Linked DNA regions of Saccharomyces cerevisiae S288C. Changing the gene in region 1 together with any one later gene gives a genetic interaction. Each region holds a gene or a part of one and is shown in the gene's direction. Other genes may lie near its edges. The genes, in order: LDB18, SCS2, STU1 and CLB4.

Region 1 (5,277 bases):
TTTCTGTGTAAGGTAAACCTGCACGTTGACGTGGGATCGGCTATTTTTTAGCTCTAGTATCTCGGATTTATAGCCGTTAAGAAAAGAAGGATTTTTGATCGCCATGATCAAATCTATACTCTTGGGTTTATCAGGGTTTCGTGACAGCTTAATGGCATGATCTAATGGACCAGGCAAGCCTGTTCCTCCACTTAGTAACAGCAAATGGTCGAATTTATCGAGGTGAAGATTACTGGGCCCATAAGGTCCCTCAATGGCCACTCGGAGTTGTAATTTACCATTTAAAGATTGCAAAATATGGTTATAAATGAATCTAGTGAGACCACTTTTAGGTTTGATCACTAAAACACACTTCTCACCTTCGTCGATAATGGTAAATGGATGGCATTGCCAAAATACCAATGGATGTAAAAAATAAATGAAACAATATTGACCCGGTTTCGAATGCCATCTCCGGTTATATTTGGGTATGATTACTTTAAACATTTCATCGTGCGGGTTGTTGCTGGTGTTCAAATTGATTAGTGTTGCTTTCGGAAATCTAAACTGCAAAATGTTCCATATTCTGAAAAGCTTTTCCAGCCCCCAAATGAGCAAGGATACCACTATCCATTCTTTCCAACCGTTGAAAATTTTGACGTGTTGCCAACAACAGTAAAAGAACAAAAGGGCTAGTATGATGTGGGTGTACAGGAAAAATTCGTAATGTCTTTTCCTTACTATTCCGAGCGATAGAACTAGTAGAACGCAAAGCACTGTTATGGATGCAATACCAAACTTCCAATAGAGCTGTTTGTTGCTTATTTTGAAGGCATGGTTGATAATTGCGAATAATGAATAAGAAAGCGAATGTATCGTTGCGTTTAAGACCATGATTCTACCGATCCATTTATGGAAACTAATAAAGGAATTGAACTTGACTCCTGTTAAAAATTCGAGAAAACTATTCCTTGCCGTAAAAATGATAATGAGAGGGAACTGAGTAAACGCCAGTATCCCAGATCTATCAGCCAACAGTCTTGTAAACTGCGACAGGTGACTGTTGAAAATGAGGTTATATGGGTCTATGATGTAACTTATGGACAAAAATATGATGTTCGCCAATGTGTATCCAAAAATGATCCATGCCTCCAAGGAATTCGGCATCAGTCCCGTAAAGACTTCCACGTTTAGAAACTTGAAGTGATTAGCGTGCTTATCTACTAAAAACGTAGGCAACACAAAATGGCCCCGAATATAATTGACGAACCGGCTTGCAAATAGCGCTCGATTCAGGCCGTTATAGTGACTCATATGGAAGAAGACGGCGATAATACCCACTATGACGAAGTAGTAAGTTAAATATGCACCATAAACACTGCTGATATCTAAATTATAGGCATGCGCATGAAAAGCTCGTATCCATCTAGATCTTGTCTCACGATCGACTCGAATGGATGTCGATAAACTTTCAATAGAACCATAGTCTTCCAAAGCGTGAGAAGAAGCATTATTTAAAGATGAGTAGTATTGCTCCAGTGAAATATTGCTAAACTTTTTATCGACAAACGAGCACGTTTTTCGTACGTTACCCAAGCTTTCTTCGAAACTTGTGTTGTCCATGGGAATAATCTGGTCTGTAAGCGAATTGAAGATACAAAGTGACCAAGTATCAAACGCTGGTGAATAAGAGCATATGGTAGAATAGAAACCCGGTACGACGGAGCTATCAAATGACCACTTCAGAGTATTTATATAGGATGCGCATGCCAGCACAGCGTTGGATTCCAAATGGTCTTTTTTTTCAGTGTGTGGTAATTTTATATTAAAAGCCTTTGTTAAAGATATCAGCCACGTTAAAAACAGAAGCGTTCTATGCATATTCAACGAGCTATGGTCGTCATGCTTCACTTTAGAAGATTATAGAAAAATCATTGCTGCCTGGTTCGATGACCTTGTATCTTTTCTTGATCTACATGGCCAGTATTTCCGTTCTGAATTTAGAATTACAAATATGGGTGCAAAAACAATGCCCACTAGCCGGGGTGTACGGGACCTTAAATCTAAGTATTGTGTTTTAGATAGAGTTGCGAAGAGAAAATTATAATTATAATAATTCTATACATGTATTCTGTATATATATGACGATTTTATATATAGATATACATTTTCATTTTTCTTGAAGATTGTTGTCATTTGTGAAATCATTTACCTTAATGAGAACCAGCGCCTCTGCTGACTCTTTCCAAAACAGAATCGTAAGAAACTTCGGAAAAATCAGTACCTTGAACATCGGTAGAGACACCGTTTAAGGCTCTTCTTAAGGCATCCTTGGAGGATGCATAGACCATCTTAGATCTGACTGGAGCAGTGTCTGGAGACCAAGTGAAGAAAACAATCTTGGATCTCTTACCTTCATTACCATTAATTTCGTATTCAAAATCGTAAATGGCGTAAAGACAGTCGTTTTCTGGCAATTTCTCTAAGAAGGCATCGTAAGATGGGTCAGTAGAGGTTTCCTTGACAACGATTTCGGTTTTAGCATCGTTCAATCCGAATAAAATAAATTTGTATTTTTTACCCAATTTCAAGTCATTGAAAGCGGTAAGGGATTCATCAGCAACAGCAACACTACACAGAAACTTCACATTTTCCTGGCTTCTTATGAATTTTTTCCCCCACATTCCTTTTAAAGTTCCATGTTAAAAAGGGAGGAAAGAAAGGACATAAGAGAGCGAGATAAAACAGCATCATGTCAATTAGTTAGTAATTGATAGTTTACACAGGAGTACAAATGAAATTTAGCATACCCAGATCTAGACATCTTCTTTTGTTAGTTTTTTGTTTATGTATGTTTTGAAATCTGAAGTTTACGTAGTTGCTAACCAGTCTTTTCTTGTTTCCTCTTTTTCTTCCAATTTTGTCATCAAACAGGGGCGGCGTCACCCGAATATTGTTCTTATTACCCGGATATTAGGTAATTTAGAGGTACTGCATATAGTATAAGTGATTGATGAACTTATAGAATGTTCTCTCGAGCTTCCAAGGCCATTAGCCTCTACCAAAGGAAGTTTGATGCCTGGTCTTAAGCTTGTTGAAGCTTTAGAATACAGGTGTGACCGATTGGAGCGGCTTATAGGCGCCGGATACAGCGCGAATTCCGATGTTTCAGTGCAATTAGATGAACTATACAATCAGTTACATCGTCTATATTTCCAGGGTCTAAAGTATTCTCAAGATCTCCTGCAACTCTTTAATACTTTCATGGCTGAAGACATCGAGAACGTGGGAGCTCCTGATGATATTTGTATTTTTGCTAGTTGCTTTGACGATATTTATACATTATATAGTGCATTTGACGAACTAAACAGCCAATATATGGAGTTTTGCCAAATCAGTAAAAGTTCATTGGATCAGATTTCCTTCAAAGACGCAAATATTGAAACGAAACAGTTGAAGAAGTTACCCGAGTTGGTGGATAACTGCAACATAATGATTTTGAGGTCAATTGCAATTCTAAACCGTTTCATCGACTGGAATATTGAAGTTAACGGATTCTTCCAGTTCCAGAAAAAGAGGCTGTTGAATTTACAAAAGGTAATTTATAGTACGTGAACATGTGTGCGTATATACATATATATATATATATATATATATATATATATATATATACTTTAGCATCGAAACAGCTAGTCCTTTTTAGAGTTCAATTTTTCCACAAAGGCTTTTTTAGCCAATTCAATTAGGATATCCAATTCTCCACTATGCTCACACATGCTATAAAAGGCACTTTGTTTGTTAAGTAACAAAGAATATGGGTGATCATACTCTTTTACCTCACCTGCATCCATCACCAAAATTTTATCATAATCGATAACAGATCTCAACCTATGTGCAATTGTCAAAATTGTACTACCTTGGAACTCTTTTCTTATGGTTTCTTGGATCTTCGCATCGGAACTGTAGTCGATGGACGCTGTAGCTTCGTCCAGCAATATGATCTTTGGACTCCTCAGTAAAGATCTAGCAAGGCACATCAATTGGCGCTGTCCTTGAGACAAATTGGATCCACCTTCGCTAATTTCACTACTTAAATCCAAGAATTTATTAACATTTTCGGAGTTAGTCGACGAAGCCTCATTGCTTGTTTCTCTTGTGGCGCCTTGTTGTAATTGTTCTTCACTAATTAGATTTACACGTTTCAAAGCTTCAAAGATCTGTCTGTCACTAAATTCATCATATGGGTCTAGGTTTGTTTTAATCGTCCCTGAGAATAGTGTTGGATCTTGTGGAATAATAGTTATAGAACGACGCAGTCTTTGTAAATCAACACCGGAAATATCGATATTATCAATTTTGATATGGCCTGTCTCAGGTTCCAAAAATCTGAACAAGGCGGTAATAATAGTTGATTTACCGGCACCGGTTCTACCAACAATACCGATCTTAGACTGAGCGTCGACAGAAAATGAAACATTTTTAATTACTCTAGGTAGATTTGGAGCATACCGTAATGATAAATCATTAACCTCGATTTTACCGTCTTGTGGCCATTGTGGTGGCGGTATTTCTTTGTGTTCGTTGTATGGCTCTTGCTCAATTTCCATATATTCTTTGACTCTTTCAACAGAATTCATATTCATCTCCACTTCAGAGTACAATCTTACCAACCACAATGCCCCTTCAGTGAAGGAAATAGCATACGTCAAAGATATACCAGCCATACCCGAATCCAGATTATTAATATTGAATAGAATGAACAAACCAGCTCCAAAAATGACCAAGGATCCAATCATATCTATCCTAAAGGCCAACCAACGATTAGCAACCCACAAGTAGAAGAATGGTTTATTATTTTCATCAATTTTGTGTAAATTCTCTTGCATAAACCTCCCTTCATCACCAAACGCACGAATGGTGGTAACACCGACAAGAGTCTCGGAAAAATGTTGATAGATCGGTGATCTAGAAATAGATTCAAATCTTTTCAATTCACGAGAACCTGCCATGTAGAAATACCCAACAAAATAATACAATATTGAAACAACTATAGCAACAGATAAGAACTGTGGAGTAATAAATGTAATCAGTATGACGGTGGATAAACATTCAATAAGCGAATAGAAGGCGCCTTGTATATAAGGTGTCAGTTCCTGATCAATAGCTTCGATATCCTTGGAAAACCTGTTCATAATTCTACCTGTTGGAGTAGCATCAAAAAATCTTATCTTGGAGTGTAAAACCTTGTTTAGAATCATATTAAATATCTTTCTTGACGCGTTGATACCAGCAACGAAA
Region 2 (5,407 bases), on another chromosome or scaffold:
TCACCGTTTGCCCTTCTTGCCTTCCACCATCTGCCTTCAATGTCAGAGACTTGTAGGATTTCATTTTGTTCAAATGAGATTTCGTAAGCATCATCGTCATCAGCGTCGTATGGGTACAGTGCTTTTGCCTTGTAAATGAAATTATCATCACCGATATCGCTATACAGACCCAAAGTGTCTCCCATCGTAGTTTCCGTATTGCCATTTGAAAAATCAGTATCGAACGTATTACCTATATTAGTATTGGTTTGATTATTGCTATTATCATTGGTTTCCTTCGCGTTGCTTGCGCTATTGATACGTTGTTGTAGAGTGTTCAAGTGAAGATTAACGGCTTCTGAAGTATTTGGCTGAGTATTCTCAAAACCAGCCAATGCCGTAGAAGATACATAATTTGTGTGAGAAGGTTGCTGCTGTGGATATCCATCAAACTGTGTCGCGTAGCCTGAGTCTCGTATAGCATCATTATAGACATTATTTTGGTAAGGCGTTGTGTTCCTATTGCCTCTTCGACGAGCTCTATGAAGAGAATTCTCTAATGGCGAAGGCCTGATACCCTTAATGGAAAACGAATCAATCCATCTATTGGTTGGGGAAGCATTATCACCGCCGTAGTACAGAATCCAGATTAAATTTATGATGGAAAGTAAGATGACACCTGCTGAAGCAGCAGCTTTCTTGGGACCATCCGCATACACTAAATTCGTTGCACTGTTTGTATTATACACAAATGCCACTGCAATAGATGTGGTGATGAAGATTCTGTAATGATCGACTAAATCAAAACAATAGAACAGCATTAAAGAACAAATAATTAGAAATTGGTATACTATACCCCACCAAGTAAAACGTGGGAAGGATTCATTGGTGGATGCAGATGAGATGGAGCCCCCGATGGCGATGACCCACGATACAATTGCCAAAGAAATTGATGATATAGCGAAAGGATCGGCATAAAATTTTTTCATTTTAAAAGAATGGTCGGTAGCCATACGTGAAGGTTTACGAGGAGTTGGTCTTATCTTTGATGATATTGACATATTTTGAAAACGTGATTTTTGGTGTTTCTGAAAAGATGGCGTTGATCTATAATGTCCAATGTTGTTTTCAAATTATTGGGTTGGCTACTGTTAATAACACGCCCTTTCTTTTAGCGATTCTGTTGAGCAAAGAAAGCTGATATGATAGACAATGATACCTCACTGAAAACGAGGCTCAATGACTTTATTCGTGTTCCTGTGTTCTTTGCATATTTCAGCAATCGCTGAAATTTTTATAATACGTATGAAGCAAAAGCCCGACTCCGAAAGCTGTTGTGTGTAAATAGATTGAACGCGTTGGGAATGTAAAACGCGATTAAGAATTTCTGATTTAACGCAGGTGCTAGGTTATTAATAGTTTCTTACGCGGATATGTAGGTTCAAGGGTCTATGTACGTATGGAGGAATAGCAAAAAAAGAATGAGTATACTCTTGCTTATTTAGTTTAGCTTCAAAGCTGCGGTCAGGCAGGTGATCATGATTATTAGCCCCCAGATAAACAAGAGAAGACCTGTGTATTTGAAAATCTTTGTCGTCAATGGCACGGCTGTCTTGTGCTCAGTTCCTATAAGCTTGTAGCCAAAGAGCCCGGGCAGAATGAAAGAAATAGAAGTGGAGCCTGTGGCCCCAACAATGGCCAGTACACGGGCCAAGGAGGAAACCGAAATGGCGACAAGATATGATGCAACTAAAATGCTGCACGTTATAACAATAAAGCTCTTGCCTCTCAATGGAGTCTCCTTAGGCTGATAAATAGATTCTTCTTCAATTACCTCATTGAGGTCAAGGCTACTGTCGCGAATCAACGGAGAACTTTCGGTAGCAACAGTGGGTTCATCCGCCGATGTAGCACTTATACTTACATTTTCCTCGGCGAAGTGTTGCAAAATCTGATGGATTGAAGCTCTTGCAGGATGACACTGTAGTGGGAACGCCAGCATCACCAACAACACAATCGCTATTCTGCCGATGGTGCTCGAGACCGCTTGCGGGTACAGCATGATAATGTTTCCAATGATGTTGTCGCCGAATGTCAGGTATCCAGCACAGCCGATCGCAATATATAAGATGAGAGCCAAAGATATTGCTATCAGTGGAATCTTCATCACATGCTCGAACCGGCTTGACCTCTGCTCATTGATTATTGAAAACATATTGTGGTGACATGTGTAGGCAAAGACAAAAATTGGAAGAGTGTTTAGCACGTTCAAATCATGCGATTGTGGTGGCAGGAGGTAGGAGATCCGGCCTTTCAAGCGAAGAATCTCATCTGATGGTGCTACATAGTGCAACAACACCAAAACACACAAGTACGCTACAGAAGAGATGGCCACCATGGAAGCGTACCTCAACGAATTCAACTTCTTCAGAAAAGACAGCGGGGCCACGAAAAAAAGCATGATCAGTGAAATTTGCACGTTCCTGTTCAACAGCCAAGCATTTCTGGTCCACACAGACATTATTTGGGGCATCAGATCCCCAACTACAATCATATAAGAGACGCCCACACCAAAACACTTGATAGCGATCGCTAGGTCAAACACAATACCTAGATTTGGGTTAATCAACCGCGTCAGAGCACTGAACGAGGCCCTCCCCTGTGGTACGTATTTAGCTACACGAGCTTGTATGAACAAGCTTTGCATAGCGCACGCCCCACACAGCACTATCATTATCACTCCAGGAATTAATCCAAACGGCTTGAATGCGTACGGCATGGCCAGGATACCAGCACCGCACGCCGTGTGTAAAAGTGTCAGCACACCTGATCTAATACTAGCTACCATATGATGCACGATTCCTTTCTATGGTTATTGAGCTGTGAAACTAACCCGTCGTTCGACCATTGTTGTTCTATATACTTCTAGTTGCTGTATAGATAAGCTCTCCGATCCCCTAAACGTGCGTGGTGATCTTACTCTTTCGCCCTCGCTTTTTTTTTTTCGCTTGTTGTTTTCGCAAGGTGAATAGAATGGTTTTAGTAGCAAAGTGCATTGTTTATTGTGTGGTGTGGTTTGACGCACATTCTGTGTTAATAGTGTAGCAGAAGGGTATTCTACAATCTCCGCGAACCTAAGTATGTCTGCTGTTGAAATTTCCCCTGACGTGTTGGTGTATAAGTCTCCATTAACGGAGCAATCGACAGAATACGCTAGTATTTCCAACAATTCAGACCAAACCATTGCATTTAAGGTCAAGACCACAGCCCCAAAGTTTTACTGCGTGAGACCAAACGCCGCAGTTGTTGCTCCAGGTGAAACAATCCAGGTTCAAGTTATCTTCCTGGGTTTGACTGAAGAGCCTGCCGCAGACTTTAAGTGCCGTGACAAGTTCCTGGTTATCACGTTGCCTTCTCCTTACGACCTCAATGGCAAGGCTGTTGCAGATGTTTGGTCCGACTTGGAGGCTGAGTTCAAGCAACAGGCTATCTCTAAAAAGATAAAAGTCAAATATTTGATAAGTCCAGATGTACACCCAGCACAGAACCAAAATATACAGGAAAACAAGGAAACTGTTGAACCAGTAGTCCAAGACAGTGAGCCAAAGGAAGTGCCTGCTGTGGTAAACGAAAAGGAGGTCCCTGCTGAACCGGAAACTCAACCTCCCGTCCAAGTAAAGAAAGAAGAGGTCCCACCTGTCGTTCAGAAAACCGTTCCTCATGAAAATGAGAAGCAAACGTCCAACAGCACTCCGGCCCCACAGAACCAGATAAAGGAAGCCGCAACCGTACCTGCAGAAAATGAATCATCCAGCATGGGTATATTCATATTGGTTGCACTCCTTATCTTGGTTTTAGGATGGTTCTACAGATAATAGGGAGATTGAGGATATAGCTGTATTCTAAATATATATTTATATATGTGTGTGTTTTGCCCTTTCCTTCCTTTCAGTCTTTATTTTACTTTGTTTTTCTACAATCTTTTTTTATTGTTTCCTTCTGTAGCCTTTACAATACTAGAACAAGGAACTAAAAGATCATACTTTCCTAACTTTTTTATATGTTTTATTTTTTAAATAGGAGAATAATCGATAACTATACCACTGTTGTAACATATTACTTGTTTAATTTATTCATGTTCGGTTTCCCTAGTGTAGTAGGCGCTATCTTGGGCAAATAACTATCCGTTATTAACCATAACAATGCGGGGTCTACTAAATGAGGGGAGGGTCTTGGATGCACATTAACGAAGATCTTGCGAGGGGGTCGCGCCTAAAAGGTCCATAAATAAATGAATACATAAACAGCCACCTACTTTCAGTTTGTTTTTTGCTAGGTCTCATAGTGAACGAGGGACTCACATATTGACAATATAGTAACATGGGCTTATCGCGCTGGCACGACAAGAATTCAAGGCCAGCAGAGGAAAAGAGCGAAGAAATGCAACAGGATGCGCACTACTACGCCCTTGCGGCAAGTGATAGTTTAAATGCAAGTGTTTCTAACGAATATGGTAATCAAGTAATGAACTCGTTTTGGAAAGTGGGTATAGACTCTCCCTATGTGGACGATGAAGCAATTAGAAACAGAGATGTCGAAAATAACTTACCTTCTTTAAAGCAAAGTGTTTATAATGCTAATGAACCAAATGCTACCTCGTCTGCATTTTCAACCGCTTCATACGCACATGAAACTTTCGATTTTAGAAACCTTAAACTAAGATAAGGGGGGATGAAGAATAAGAATAAACGCACGTACAATGCATATACAACCGTTTCTATGTACCATAAATATAATTATCATATAATGAAAAATGAGAATAAAAAACAATGATAACAATGAAAAAAAAAAAATTCAATTAAAGAGAAAATTAAACTTATTTTCTTAAGTAGTCCCTTAAATAACTACCGAGTTTTTCAGCACCCTGTTCTACAACGTCTCTCAACATCTGCAATTCATCATCTGCGGAGGCATTAAAATCGATGAAACCGTTATTAGAATTACGGCCATCAAAATTCCCTGCTCCACTTCCACTACTATTGATGGGATTACCAAATTCATCCACTTCTTTATCTTCTCCAAAGTATGAAGAAGAGGAAATTGATGTAGCATTGTCAAATGTTTTCAACTTGTCATGCGCTTCCCTGTTTGCTGCTTCATCAAATGAGCCACGACCAAATAATTGATCAGATGATATAGCTTTTTGTGTGCCGTACCTTTCCGCGATTCTGCCCGTATATCTTGGTCCCTGAGCTATTTTCTGAGATTCTTTTTGTTGCTTTGCCAAATCATTGGCGTCATTCATGGTCATACCAAATCCCAATTTGGCAAACTTGGGTGTTAAAGTATCTTGCTGTTCTTTTCTAGTTGTGTCGAAGCTGTTTGAAGTGTCATTTAAAAAATCATTGAATTCATCAGGCTGGGTATT
Region 3 (9,060 bases), on another chromosome or scaffold:
TTCTCAATTTCAGTATTCAGGTTCTTCAAAAGCATGGACTCAGCAAGTTTGACATTCTTAGGAAATTTACTTGTGATTATGAATTTTCTAAAATTTTCGTCTTTATCATCGTCATCCTTCCTTTCCACGACAATATTGGTTTTTGTGAAAGTTTTCAAATTCTTAATTCTGTTCATTCCACGGCCAATAATGGCGCCTACATACAGTTCTGGAATCTTCAATTCGATCCTAGTGTTAGATGAGGTAGAAGGGGAAGTTGGCTCACCGGAGGACTTTTTCAGATGAGGGAAATAAGATCTTTCTGTGCTGAATCTGACGTCAACGTCACTCAAGATGATCTCGCTAATTTCGATAAGTACATTGGTGATGGATCCTGGGAAACCCTGGATCTCGATAATTCTCTCGTCGCTAGCAGGTAAGAAGTCCTTGGAAGCCACGATCTTAACGCCGTGCTTATTGATCAGGGACTTGATGGTGGCGCCTGCTTTCCCGATAATCGATGAGATATGGGAATTGGCCACAATGAGCCTCACATAACCGATGTCCTCCAGTTGCTGCAGATCTCTGATCTCGTCCTTTGAGGGAGCTGGTAAAATATGGTTCAAAAAGTGGAAGTAGTAGTGCTCTTCCGCTTCGCCCTCAGCTGCGTCCTCATTTTCGGGATTCCGTTTGTTAAGCACGTCAACAATATCACCAATGGCATTGGCCACATTGATTACGTTCCCAGCACAGGACAGGATCCTGTCAGAGCAACCGGGCACCTTTTCAGAAATACCGATCTTGACGGCGTTTGCAGCTCTTATGCGTGAGATGGTGGAGCCCTTAGTGCCAATGATCTTGGCAGCCTCTTTCAATGACAGCAAAAGCCTGTGATTGATGGTGGGTTGAGCGGTGGTGCCAACAACGGGGGCGCCGCCAGTGGCGGCGCTGCCGGCATCACTGGAGCCGCCGTTGGTATTGTTTGTGGGAATTGCAACGGGAGTAGCAGCTTCGAAGAACTGTGACATGGCTGGTATATATACTAATGCTGTCTCTAAGTTACCCGATAAGTTGATGCTTTGTTGTACAGGGGACGCGCGATAGGAGTGGGGAGCAATATGCTTTTACTTCGTATGCCAAGTAGTTATATATGCTCGGGTACTTATGCTCCAGATTATAGTCTTGTTTGTTGTTTGGCTGAGCGGCCGGACACACAGAAAAAAAACAAAAGGGCTTTCGTTAAAAGGGATAGGGTAATGTCTAGACTTAGCATAGGGCTAAAACAGAAATAGTAGGGTCTATACCGTTTTTGAAAACAAGTTGTGTAGGGTGAGACTTTTTCTTTTTCCTTTGAGTTTTTCTTTTTCTTTTTACGATTTGTCAGAAATTAGTCGGACGCTCTTGTGGGGTGAGCGCCAGCGCCGCTATAGTATATATAAAGAAGTTGCTGTGCTGGCGTGGACAATAATTGAGTCATTACAAAAAGTGGCGTACATAAAACTACAACAAACCTACAGGATGACCATAGATAACTACGACAACAGTAAACAGGATAGCAGCAAATACGAGGTTAGTGGTACGGGTGATGGCAGGAACGGCGATGGCGGCTTGCCTCTAGTACAATGTGTCGCAAGAGCTCGTATCCCAACCACACAGGGTCCGGATATCTTTTTACATCTTTACAGTAACAACAGGGACAACAAGGAACATCTAGCCATTGTGTTTGGTGAAGACATACGGTCGCGCTCGCTATTCCGTAGAAGACAGTGCGAGACGCAACAAGATAGAATGATCAGGGGCGCTTATATTGGCAAACTGTATCCCGGCAGAACTGTGGCAGACGAAGACGATAGACTCGGATTAGCTCTGGAGTTTGATGATAGTACAGGTGAGTTATTAGCTTCCAAAGCCACTACATGGGACGCCCATAACGACACGCTGGTACGGATCCATTCTGAATGTTACACCGGTGAAAACGCATGGAGCGCCCGTTGTGATTGTGGTGAACAATTCGATAGGGCCGGTAGGCTTATCGCTTGCGACCACGAACCCACAAGCAACATCAAAGGTGGAAACGGCCATGGTGTTATCGTGTATCTAAGACAAGAGGGTCGTGGCATCGGGTTAGGTGAGAAACTCAAGGCCTACAACCTGCAAGACTTAGGTGCTGACACAGTGCAGGCCAACTTAATGCTGAAACATCCCGTGGATGCTAGGGACTTCTCGCTGGGTAAGGCTATTTTGCTGGATCTTGGCATCGGTAATGTCAGGCTGCTGACAAATAACCCGGAAAAGATAAAACAGGTAGATCATGCGCCTTACCTTAAGTGCGTTGAACGAGTGCCTATGGTACCCATACACTGGACAAACTCCAGTGAAGGCATAGACTCCAAGGAGATAGAAGGTTATCTCAGGACCAAGATAGAAAGAATGGGTCATTTACTAACGGAGCCTCTGAAACTTCATACAAACCCTCAACCTACTGAGACAAGTGAAGCCCAAAACCAAAACCGTATGAACTCTGCGTTGTCATCAACATCGACGCTGGCAATATAAACACAAGTGTAGCATAATTATTAGTACATATAGTGCTTTTTTTGTAATGAAACGAAAATACCATGTTATTTTAATGCGTTACCCCGTCGGCGCGTATTGGCGCATTAACATCTTTATAGAAAATCAAATTATTTACTTATTTATTCTAAAACGCTAAACATCTATTTATTTACATTTGAGGTTGAAACTTCCCTTCATCCGATTGACAGGCATATTTAGCGGTAATTATTAGGGTTTTTGGAGAGACCTTGTATTCTTCAGAAATAATGTCGTCCTTCAACAATGAGACCAATAATAACAGCAACACTAATACACATCCAGACGATTCCTTCCCTTTGTATACCGTATTCAAGGACGAGTCTGTACCCATCGAGGAAAAAATGGCACTGCTTACACGGTTCAAAGGACATGTAAAAAAGGAACTAGTTAACGAATCGTCGATCCAAGCTTATTTCGCTGCGTTACTGTTCATCTCCGGCCATTACGCTTACCGTTCGTACCCGCGGTTAATCTTCCTATCACATTCCTCGCTTTGTTACCTTATCAAACGTGTGGCCATGCAGTCTCCAGTACAATTCAATGACACTCTAGTTGAGCAATTACTAAACCACTTAATTTTCGAGTTGCCTAATGAGAAGAAATTTTGGCTGGCTTCCATTAAAGCCATTGAAGCCATTTATTTGGTTAATCCATCGAAGATCCAAGCTATTCTAGCAAATTTCTTGCGAAGACCAAGTGAAAACCAAAACGGAGATTACCTGAATAGGATAAAATCTACATTATTGACCATCGATGAGTTGATCCAGATCAACGAGAAAAATAATTCAAATCATTTGCAACTACTGAGGTTTTTCATGCTGTCTTTCACCAACCTTTTAAATAACAACCTAAATGAACACGCAAACGATGATAACAATAATGTAATAATAGAGCTTATTTTCGATATAATGTACAAGTATTTGAAAATGGATGACGAAAATTCACAGGATCTGATAGATGGATTTATTAACGATTTAGAAGTTGAGAAATTCAAGCAAAAATTCATAAGTTTAGCAAAGTCACAGGACCAGCATGGTTCACAAGAAGATAAATCGACCTTGTTTGACGAAGAGTACGAGTTTCAATTACTATTAGCCGAAGCGAAATTGCCGCAGTTATCAAACAACTTGAGCAGTAAAGACCCAGCGATGAAAAAAAACTATGAGTCTTTGAACCAATTACAACAAGACTTGGAGAATTTGTTGGCACCGTTCCAAAGTGTAAAGGAAACAGAACAAAATTGGAAGCTAAGGCAATCAAATATAATTGAATTAGACAACATTATATCCGGCAACATTCCCAAAGATAATCCAGAGGAATTTGTCACTGTAATAAAGGAGGTGCAGTTGATTGAGTTGATTTCAAGAGCTACCTCGTCGTTGAGGACAACGTTATCATTAACTGCATTACTTTTCCTCAAGAGGCTAATCCATATCCTAAACGATCAGTTGCCCCTATCAATATTGGACCAAATATTTGTCATTTTCAAGAACTTGTTATCATCTACCAAGAAAATCTCTTCACAAACTGCATTTCATTGTTTAATTACTTTGATCATTGATATAAATCATTTCCATAATAAACTATTCCAATTATCTTTTTTATTAATAAATGAGAAAACCGTAACACCGAGATTTTGCTCTGCAATACTGCTGCGTAGCTTCCTGATTAAGTTCAACGACTCCAATCTTTCGCTCAACAATTCAAATACAACTTCGCCAACCTCAAAGTTGGAGAATAACATCATATACATCGAAGAATGGCTAAAAAAGGGCATTTCAGATTCACAGACAACCGTTAGAGAGGCAATGAGGTTAACTTTTTGGTATTTCTACAAATGTTATCCTACAAATGCCAAAAGATTATTGAGTTCTTCCTTTTCTCCACAGTTGAAAAAAGCAACAGAATTGGCAATCCCTGCTCATTTGAATATAAACTATCAAGTTTCCAGGGTGTCCTCTACTGCCTCCGCCTCCTCTGCAACGTCTCGATTGTACTCTCACTCTTCGAATAATTCTTCAAGAAAAACCAGTTTACTGGAGCAGAAAAGGAACTATCCAAGTTATGCCCAACCGACTCAATCTTCCTCCACCTCCCTACTCAACGCTCCTGCAGTCACAGCTGGTGGAAGTGTCATAGCCAGTAAACTATCAAATAAGCTGAAAACAAACTTAAGGTCTACTAGTGAATATTCAAGTAAAGAAAATGAAAAAAGGGCAAGGCATCATGACAGTATGAACTCTGTTTCAAACAGCAACACCAAAGATAATAATAATGTTACTAAAAGAAAAGTTAGTGCCCCTCCTTCTTCTACTGCCGCCACAAAAGTATCTGAAAATTACACAAATTTTGATGACTTTCCGTCAAACCAAATCGACTTGACTGATGAGTTATCAAATAGTTACTCTAACCCGTTGATAAAGAAATATATGGATAAAAATGATGTTTCGATGTCATCTTCTCCAATCTCATTAAAAGGCAGTAATAAACTTGGTGAATATGAAACCCTTTACAAAAAATTCAATGATGCTTCGTTTCCAGCTCAGATCAAAGATGCTTTACAGTATTTACAAAAGGAGTTACTGTTGACATCGCAACAGTCATCATCAGCCCCAAAATTTGAATTTCCCATGATTATGAAAAAGCTACGCCAAATTATGATAAAGTCACCAAATGATTTCAAGCCATTTTTGAGTATAGAGAAGTTTACAAATGGAGTTCCCTTAAATTACCTCATTGAGCTATATTCTATTAATAGTTTTGATTACGCGGAAATCTTAAAGAATAGAATGAATCCTGAAAAGCCCTACGAGCTTACTAACTTGATTATAACTATCGCGGATTTATTCAATTTCTTGAATGCCAATAATTGTCCGAATGATTTCAAACTATACTATATGAAATACAAAACCACTTTTTTCAATTATAATTTCAAGTTACTTTTAGAGATTTTCCGTAACTTGAACATAAAACATGATAACACTCTGAGGTCAGGAACGAACGATCTCATGCCTAAAATATCAATGATACTCTTTCAAATCTACGGTAAAGAGTTTGACTACACATGTTATTTCAATCTAATTTTTGAAATTTATAAATTCGATAATAATCGTTTTAATAAATTGCTAGCTGATTTTGACATTGTATCTACCAAGATGAAAATCTGTCATGAACTTGAAAAGAAGGATGCCAACTTTAAGGTAGAAGACATCATTTCTAGAGAAAGTTCTGTAAGCTTCACTCCCATCGACAATAAAAAATCTGAAGGGGATGAGGAATCCGACGATGCTGTAGACGAAAATGATGTTAAGAAATGCATGGAAATGACAATGATTAATCCCTTCAAAAACTTGGAAACTGATAAAACACTAGAGTTGAAGAATAACGTTGGAAAAAGAACATCAAGCACAGACAGCGTAGTTATTCATGATGATAATGACAAAGATAAAAAGCTTTCAGAAATGACGAAAATAGTAAGTGTTTATCAACTGGACCAGCCAAACCCAGCAAAGGAGGAAGATGATATAGATATGGAAAATTCTCAAAAATCTGATTTGAATTTAAGTGAAATTTTTCAAAACAGTGGTGAAAATACCGAAAGGAAATTGAAGGACGATAATGAACCAACAGTAAAATTCAGTACAGATCCTCCAAAGATAATAAATGAGCCAGAAAAACTTATTGGAAATGGGAATGAGAATGAAAAGCCTGATTTGGAAACAATGTCACCAATCAAAATAAACGGGGACGAGAATATGGGTCAAAAGCAAAGGATCACAGTAAAGAGAGAAAGAGACGTAGCACTAACTGAACAAGACATAAACTCCAAAAAGATGAAACTAGTTAATAACAAAAAATCAGAGAAGATGCATTTGCTTATCATGGATAATTTCCCAAGGGATTCCTTGACTGTATATGAAATTAGTCATCTTTTAATGGTTGATTCTAATGGCAACACTTTGATGGATTTTGATGTCTATTTCAATCACATGTCAAAGGCAATAAACAGGATAAAAAGTGGATCGTTCACTATGAAACATATAAATTACCTGATCGAACCCTTGATTACTTGTTTTCAAAATCAAAAAATGACCGATTGGTTGACGAATGAAAATGGTTTTGATGAACTACTGGATGTTGCTATTATGCTTTTGAAATCTACTGATGACACGCCTTCAATTCCATCAAAAATATCCAGTAAGTCCATAATTCTCGTTCATTGTCTTTTGGTTTGGAAAAAGTTTCTAAATACACTAAGCGAGAATGCCGACGATGATGGCGTTTCGGTGAGAATGTGTTTCGAAGAAGTATGGGAACAGATCCTTTTAATGCTTAATAAATTTTCTGATTATGGAAACGAAATCTATAAATTAGCGCAAGAGTTCAGGGACAGTCTAATGTTATCGCACTTTTTCAAAAAACATTCGGCAACAAGAATTCTAAGCATGTTGGTTACTGAAATTCAGCCTGACACCGCTGGTGTGAAAGAAACATTTTTAATTGAGACCTTATGGAAGATGCTGCAATCTCCTACCATTTGCCAACAATTCAAGAAATCTAATATATCAGAGATTATCCAAACAATGAGCTATTTCATTATGGGGACTGATAATACTTCGTGGAACTTCACCAGTGCCGTGGTATTAGCTCGTTGTTTGAGAGTCCTCCAAACTACTCCAGATTATACTGAGCAAGAAACCGAACGATTATTCGATTGTTTGCCTAAGAATGTCTTTAAAATGATCATGTTCATCGCCTCAAACGAATAGAGAATAGCGTGGTAGACGCGTAATTTTTTTTTACCGTGACGCGTCTCACCAGAGTTTCTTAGTTCTTTCTCTTTTCTAAAACTGTAATAATATGAGCTCTTTGTAGACACATATAACATTTTGTTTCATATACATAATATATTTGCATATAAAAATATCAAGATAATTGATTGTCAATTGGTTCAACAAAGCTTGAAGGTAAATTTAGGCAGGAGCAAGTGACTGAAAAAAAAAAAAATGAGCGGATCTATCGATGTCATCACTCATTTTGGGCCTGATGCAGACAAGCCGGAAATCATCACTGCATTAGAGAATTTAACTAAACTGCATGCATTGTCCGTCGAGGATCTATACATTAAATGGGAGCAGTTCTCCAATCAAAGGCGTCAAACTCACACAGATCTGACTTCCAAGAACATAGATGAGTTTAAACAATTTTTACAATTACAAATGGAAAAGCGTGCTAACCAAATTTCATCGTCCTCTAAGGTAAACACATCCACAAAAAAACCAGTGATTAAAAAAAGTTTGAATTCAAGTCCCTTGTTTGGCCTTAGTATTCCAAAGACTCCGACTTTAAAAAAAAGAAAGTTACATGGTCCCTTTTCACTCAGTGATTCCAAGCAAACATATAATGTAGGCTCTGAGGCAGAAACAAATGAAAAAGGAAATAGTTCTTTAAAATTGGAGTTTACTCCAGGCATGGCAGAAGATGCTGTGGGTGACAGTGCTCCATTGTCCCACGCTAAAAGCTCGGATGCCAAGACTCCCGGCTCGTCGACATTCCAAACTCCAACAACAAACACTCCTACCACATCGAGGCAAAATGTTCCTGCTGGTGAAATTTTGGATTCTTTGAACCCTGAAAATATTGAAATATCATCTGGTAATCCAAATGTAGGCCTTCTTTCGACTGAAGAACCATCATATAACCAGGTCAAAGTAGAACCATTTTATGATGCTAAAAAGTATAAATTCAGAACAATGAGGCAAAACTTACAGGAAGCGTCTGATGTCCTCGATGATCAAATTGAATCGTTTACTAAGATTATTCAAAATCACTATAAGTTATCTCCAAACGACTTCGCTGATCCAACTATTCAATCTCAGTCCGAAATTTATGCTGTTGGAAGGATAGTTCCAGATTCGCCGACCTACGACAAGTTTTTGAATCCAGAATCGCTTTCCCTAGAGACCTCAAGAATGGGCGGCGTTGGAAGAAGGGTAAGGTTAGATCTATCGCAGGTCAACGAGCTTTCGTTTTTCTTAGGCCAAATTGTGGCATTCAAAGGTAAAAATGCTAATGGGGATTACTTCACCGTTAACTCTATTTTGCCGCTACCTTATCCAAACTCCCCAGTGTCCACATCGCAGGAACTGCAGGAGTTTCAAGCAAATTTGGAAGGTTCTTCTTTGAAGGTTATCGTGACCTGTGGCCCATACTTTGCAAATGATAACTTCTCCCTCGAATTGTTGCAAGAATTTATCGATAGTATAAATAATGAGGTAAAACCTCACGTCTTGATAATGTTTGGCCCATTTATAGATATCACCCATCCTCTGATAGCGAGTGGTAAATTGCCAAATTTTCCCCAGTTCAAGACACAGCCCAAAACATTGGACGAGCTTTTTTTGAAGTTATTTACTCCTATTCTAAAAACCATATCACCACATATCCAAACCGTATTGATACCCTCCACAAAAGATGCAATTTCTA
Region 4 (4,346 bases), 520 kb from region 1:
ATACAAATGGTCGTCATAGCTAATGCGCACAACGAATTAATCCATGACGCTGTTCTAGACTATTATGGGAAGCGCCTTGCAACCTGCTCTTCTGACAAGACAATCAAGATCTTTGAAGTCGAAGGAGAAACACACAAGTTAATAGACACGTTGACTGGCCACGAAGGCCCAGTTTGGCGTGTTGATTGGGCACATCCTAAATTCGGAACCATTTTGGCATCGTGTTCTTATGATGGTAAAGTGTTGATTTGGAAGGAAGAAAACGGTAGATGGTCTCAAATTGCCGTTCATGCTGTCCACTCTGCTTCTGTCAACTCTGTTCAATGGGCTCCTCATGAATATGGCCCCCTACTGCTGGTTGCTTCCTCTGATGGTAAGGTCTCCGTAGTAGAGTTCAAAGAAAACGGTACTACTTCCCCAATAATCATCGATGCTCATGCCATTGGCGTTAACTCTGCTTCTTGGGCTCCAGCTACCATCGAAGAAGATGGTGAACACAACGGTACTAAAGAATCTCGCAAGTTTGTTACTGGGGGTGCTGACAATTTGGTAAAGATTTGGAAGTACAATTCAGATGCCCAAACTTATGTTCTGGAAAGCACCTTAGAAGGTCACAGCGATTGGGTTAGAGACGTAGCATGGTCACCTACTGTTCTTCTACGTTCTTATTTGGCCAGTGTTTCTCAAGATCGCACCTGTATTATTTGGACTCAAGACAATGAACAAGGCCCATGGAAAAAAACTTTATTAAAAGAAGAAAAATTCCCAGATGTTTTATGGAGAGCCAGTTGGTCTTTGTCAGGTAATGTACTAGCTCTTTCCGGTGGCGATAATAAAGTTACTTTATGGAAGGAAAATCTTGAGGGTAAATGGGAACCCGCTGGTGAAGTTCATCAGTGAAGAGTATCAAGAATTTAAAATGAAACATCTCAAAAGAAAAAAGAATGCAAATGAGTCTATCGACGAATTTGAAGGGAAATAAACGCATAATGTACAGTAACGTATAACAATTAAAGATTTGTGGAAGTTTTCAAAAACTTTTCAACTTTTTTCTTTGTTTTTTTTTTGCAACTTCTTATATTAATATTGTCATAGATATTTCTTATACAAAAACAAGCGAACAAAAATAATCGACGTATATACAATAGATATATAAGACTGTTTTTCTTCAATAGAACAGGCGAAATTATTCTACCGGCCGAAGGTACATCTTCCCGCTATGTAATAAATAGAGGTATTTAAGTTATAACAATTATAATTCCCCCATTACGGCAGCAATTAAGTTTTGCACGTCATTAGAGGCGATTTTACCATTCTCCAGTACTTCAGCGTGAGTCGCTTTGCCTTTTTCTAAGGGTACAGGTGATTCGTCCAACGCACTGGCAGGGCTATCCACCACGCAAGTATTGGTAATCAAACTTAAGGCCAAAACCCTCCATCCGCAATGTCTTGCAACAATGACTTCGGGAACAGTACTCATTCCGACAGCATCTCCTCCCAACATCCTTATCATTTTGGATTCTGCTCTTGTTTCGAAAGTGGGTCCAGATACAAAAGTATAAGTACCTTCATGCAGTGGCCTTTGAATCTTGAGCTCTTTCCATTTCTTAAATAAAAGCTTCCTCAACTCCAGATCATATGCATCACTCAAGGCTAAAAAACGAGGTCCATCTTCATCCAAGTTAGGACCTCTCAATGGGTGCTGGCCAGCAAGGCCAGGGATATTTAAATGATCATAAATGCACATCAAATCGCAGGCTTGATATTTCGCGTTTATACCACCAGCGGCATTAGTGACAATTAAATTACGAACATGACCCATGTGGTTAAGCACTCTAATAGGAAAAGTAGTCTCAAACAATGTGTTGCCTTCATATCCATGAAGACGACCATTCATTAATACTACTGGTGAACCATTCATAGATCCGAACATTAGTGTACCGGAATGACCTGGAACCGTACTTTTCTTGAATCCTGGGATGTCTTGGTATGGGACTGTTACCGGGGGTGGATTGTCTCTAGACAGCTTGGTAGATATTCCACCAAGCCCTGAACCACATATAATCAAAGTTCTCGGAGGCTCGAAATTTGTTGTATTTTTGAAATGTGGTTCTAAAATAGCAGAAATATACGCAGCGGCCTTGGTAATTGCTTCACGTTGTTGACTTACGTTCAAGATATCACTCATCTTTTAAGTTTATTCGGAGTTTCTCATGTGTTCTAGAAGATTAGCAAGATTATCCTAAAGTTATGCCTGCCCTATCTGCCCTCTGCTTCGAGATTTTCCTTTTCTTTGCGCTTTGTAAACACTGAAACAAAAACAAAAACAATGGAAACATCAGAAAGATATTTATTTATTGTGGCCGCATAAAGTTTTAATTCTTTGATAATTAACGTCGTATTTGGGAAACTGCTTACTATACCGGATACTAGGCTGCCCTGATCAAACAAGGAAATTGACAGATGATGCTTGAAGGGTATACGGTACAACCTCCACAGTCTACTTTGATAGGTGACATTGAAATTCAGGACGAAAATGCAAACCAAGAAGTTAAGAACGTACTTTACCAAGGAGTTCAAAAGGGTATAAAAAGGCTAGAAAAAAGACAAAGGAGGGTTGCATTAGGTGATGTAACCTCTCAAAAGGCAAACAAAATACACAATGCTATACATAATAAATTCCATCAGACGAAGAACAATTTTGAAATAGAGAACATACGCTCATCGGCCTTGGTAAAAGAACAACAACGAGACGTAAGGCATGAAGATAGCGACTATTTTTTAATTGATAGTTCTGAAGGCTCTTCTACTGATGACGAACAAGTTAATGAAGATGCTATTGATGATTTGTTAAGTCGAAGAGTAAATGATCAGCAGATTCAAGCCGATGAAGTGTATGAAGATTTCGATGGAGAAATGCAAGATGTCATTGAAGAGGATGTTGATAGTCAAATTGAACCACTATCACCAATAAACAACGATGAAATTCAGACTGAGCTGGACAGGGCGTTTGAAAAATATTTTCGGTCGGTTCCCAATCCGCTGGATGATGATACCCATGATGTTGTGATGGTTGTGGAGTACGCTTCCGACATATTCTATTACTTGAGAGAACTTGAAGTGAAATATAGGCCTAATCCCTACTATATGCAAAATCAAGTAGAGCTTACATGGCCGTTCAGACGAACTATGATAGATTGGCTAGTTCAACTGCATTTTAGATTTCAACTTTTACCAGAAACGCTATACCTGACGATTAATATAGTGGATAGATTTCTGTCAAAGAAGACCGTTACTTTGAACAGGTTTCAATTGGTTGGTGTATCGGCTTTATTTATTGCTGCCAAGTTTGAAGAGATTAACTGCCCCACTTTGGATGATCTAGTTTACATGCTGGAAAATACATACACTAGAGATGACATTATTAGAGCGGAACAGTATATGATAGATACTCTGGAATTTGAAATAGGTTGGCCAGGACCCATGCCATTTTTAAGAAGGATAAGTAAAGCAGATGACTATGACTTCGAACCAAGAACATTAGCAAAGTACTTATTGGAAACTACAATAGTAGAACCCAAACTAGTGGCTGCGGCACCAAGCTGGTTAGCTGCTGGCGCGTATTTTCTGAGCAGAACAATTCTTGGTTCAAATGATTGGTCTTTAAAACATGTATTCTACTCTGGCTATACATCCAGCCAAATAATTCCTTTAGCATCACTGATATTGGAGAATTGCAAGAACGCATCTCGACGCCATCATTCAATTTGGAAAAAATACTTTGACCAAAAGCATTACCGCTGTTCTCAAATTGTAGAAGAATGGATTGTTTCGACAGAAGCCTAACTTACTCATCTTAACACCATTTGCTTCAGTTTTGGTTTCGGAAGGATCATATTTCATTTATTCAGGTAGAAGATATATATCATATTACACACACACACACACACACACATACACATATACACACATATATATATATATAGATATATATATGAATGCATCCTTGATTCCGTTTCAGTTAACACCCCGATGGTCCACCCAAGTTTATATCATCCTCTTTTTGACCGAATCTTTATTTGACAATCTTCAAGCAGCCTCAGGGCAAAATTCAATTCTGGAGGGTTTGATATATGTGCCCTATGCCTCCAGGTAAGCGGCATTCGCAGTAGAAGAGCAGCAATCACATACTCCAACTAAGTTAAAAGACGATACTTCGTATCTTGAAAAGAAATTACCTTATTCGTCTAGTTTTTTTGCTTATCCCTTCTTTGCTTCGCACTTTCTACTAAGCTGTCCCAGCGTTCTCTTAATCGCCCAATTTCATTAGCCAATTTTTTATTTTC

Evidence for each region.
Region 2: mutations in LDB18 (region 1) and SCS2 together harm fitness more than expected from each alone (negative genetic interaction), as found in Saccharomyces cerevisiae (4 studies listed by BioGRID, with this or other methods).
Region 3: mutations in LDB18 (region 1) and STU1 together harm fitness more than expected from each alone (negative genetic interaction), as found in Saccharomyces cerevisiae (4 studies listed by BioGRID, with this or other methods).
Region 4: mutations in LDB18 (region 1) and CLB4 together harm fitness more than expected from each alone (negative genetic interaction), as found in Saccharomyces cerevisiae (4 studies listed by BioGRID, with this or other methods).

Annotation. Positions count from the first base shown.
Region 1 is NC_001144.5:37,612-42,888, forward strand, and holds LDB18 (Ldb18p), read left to right. Parts: upstream 1-3,054; coding exon 3,055-3,594; downstream 3,595-5,277. Other genes in the region: FRE6 (putative ferric-chelate reductase), read right to left, coding at 1-1,860; COF1 (cofilin), read right to left, coding at 2,193-2,610, 2,790-2,803; bile acid-transporting ATPase YBT1, read right to left, coding at 3,669-5,277. UniProt on the Saccharomyces cerevisiae protein: May be involved in protein-linked oligosaccharide phosphorylation since the deletion reduces the negative charge of the cell surface.
Region 2 is NC_001137.3:398,016-403,422, forward strand, and holds SCS2 (phosphatidylinositol-binding protein SCS2), read left to right. Parts: upstream 1-3,119; coding exon 3,120-3,854; downstream 3,855-5,407. Other genes in the region: osmosensor SHO1, read right to left, coding at 1-1,040; AVT6 (aspartate/glutamate transporter), read right to left, coding at 1,481-2,827; YER121W (uncharacterized protein), read left to right, coding at 4,360-4,704; GLO3 (ADP-ribosylation factor GTPase-activating protein), read right to left, coding at 4,856-5,407. UniProt on the Saccharomyces cerevisiae protein: Acts as an endoplasmic reticulum (ER) membrane anchor for cytoplasmic proteins via binding to the FFAT motif of targeted proteins. Regulates phospholipid biosynthesis by modulating the subcellular localization of the transcriptional repressor OPI1.
Region 3 is NC_001134.8:152,131-161,190, reverse strand, and holds STU1 (Stu1p), read left to right. Parts: upstream 1-2,801; coding exon 2,802-7,343; downstream 7,344-9,060. Other genes in the region: HEK2 (Hek2p), read right to left, coding at 1-1,007; RIB1 (GTP cyclohydrolase II), read left to right, coding at 1,498-2,535; DNA-directed DNA polymerase alpha subunit POL12, read left to right, coding at 7,581-9,060.
Region 4 is NC_001144.5:559,545-563,890, forward strand, and holds CLB4 (B-type cyclin CLB4), read left to right. Parts: upstream 1-2,463; coding exon 2,464-3,846; downstream 3,847-4,346. Other genes in the region: GTPase-activating protein SEC13, read left to right, coding at 7-900; PNP1 (purine-nucleoside phosphorylase), read right to left, coding at 1,253-2,188; ATG38 (Atg38p), read right to left, coding at 4,248-4,346. UniProt on the Saccharomyces cerevisiae protein: Essential for the control of the cell cycle at the G2/M (mitosis) transition. Interacts with the CDC2 protein kinase to form MPF. G2/M cyclins accumulate steadily during G2 and are abruptly destroyed at mitosis.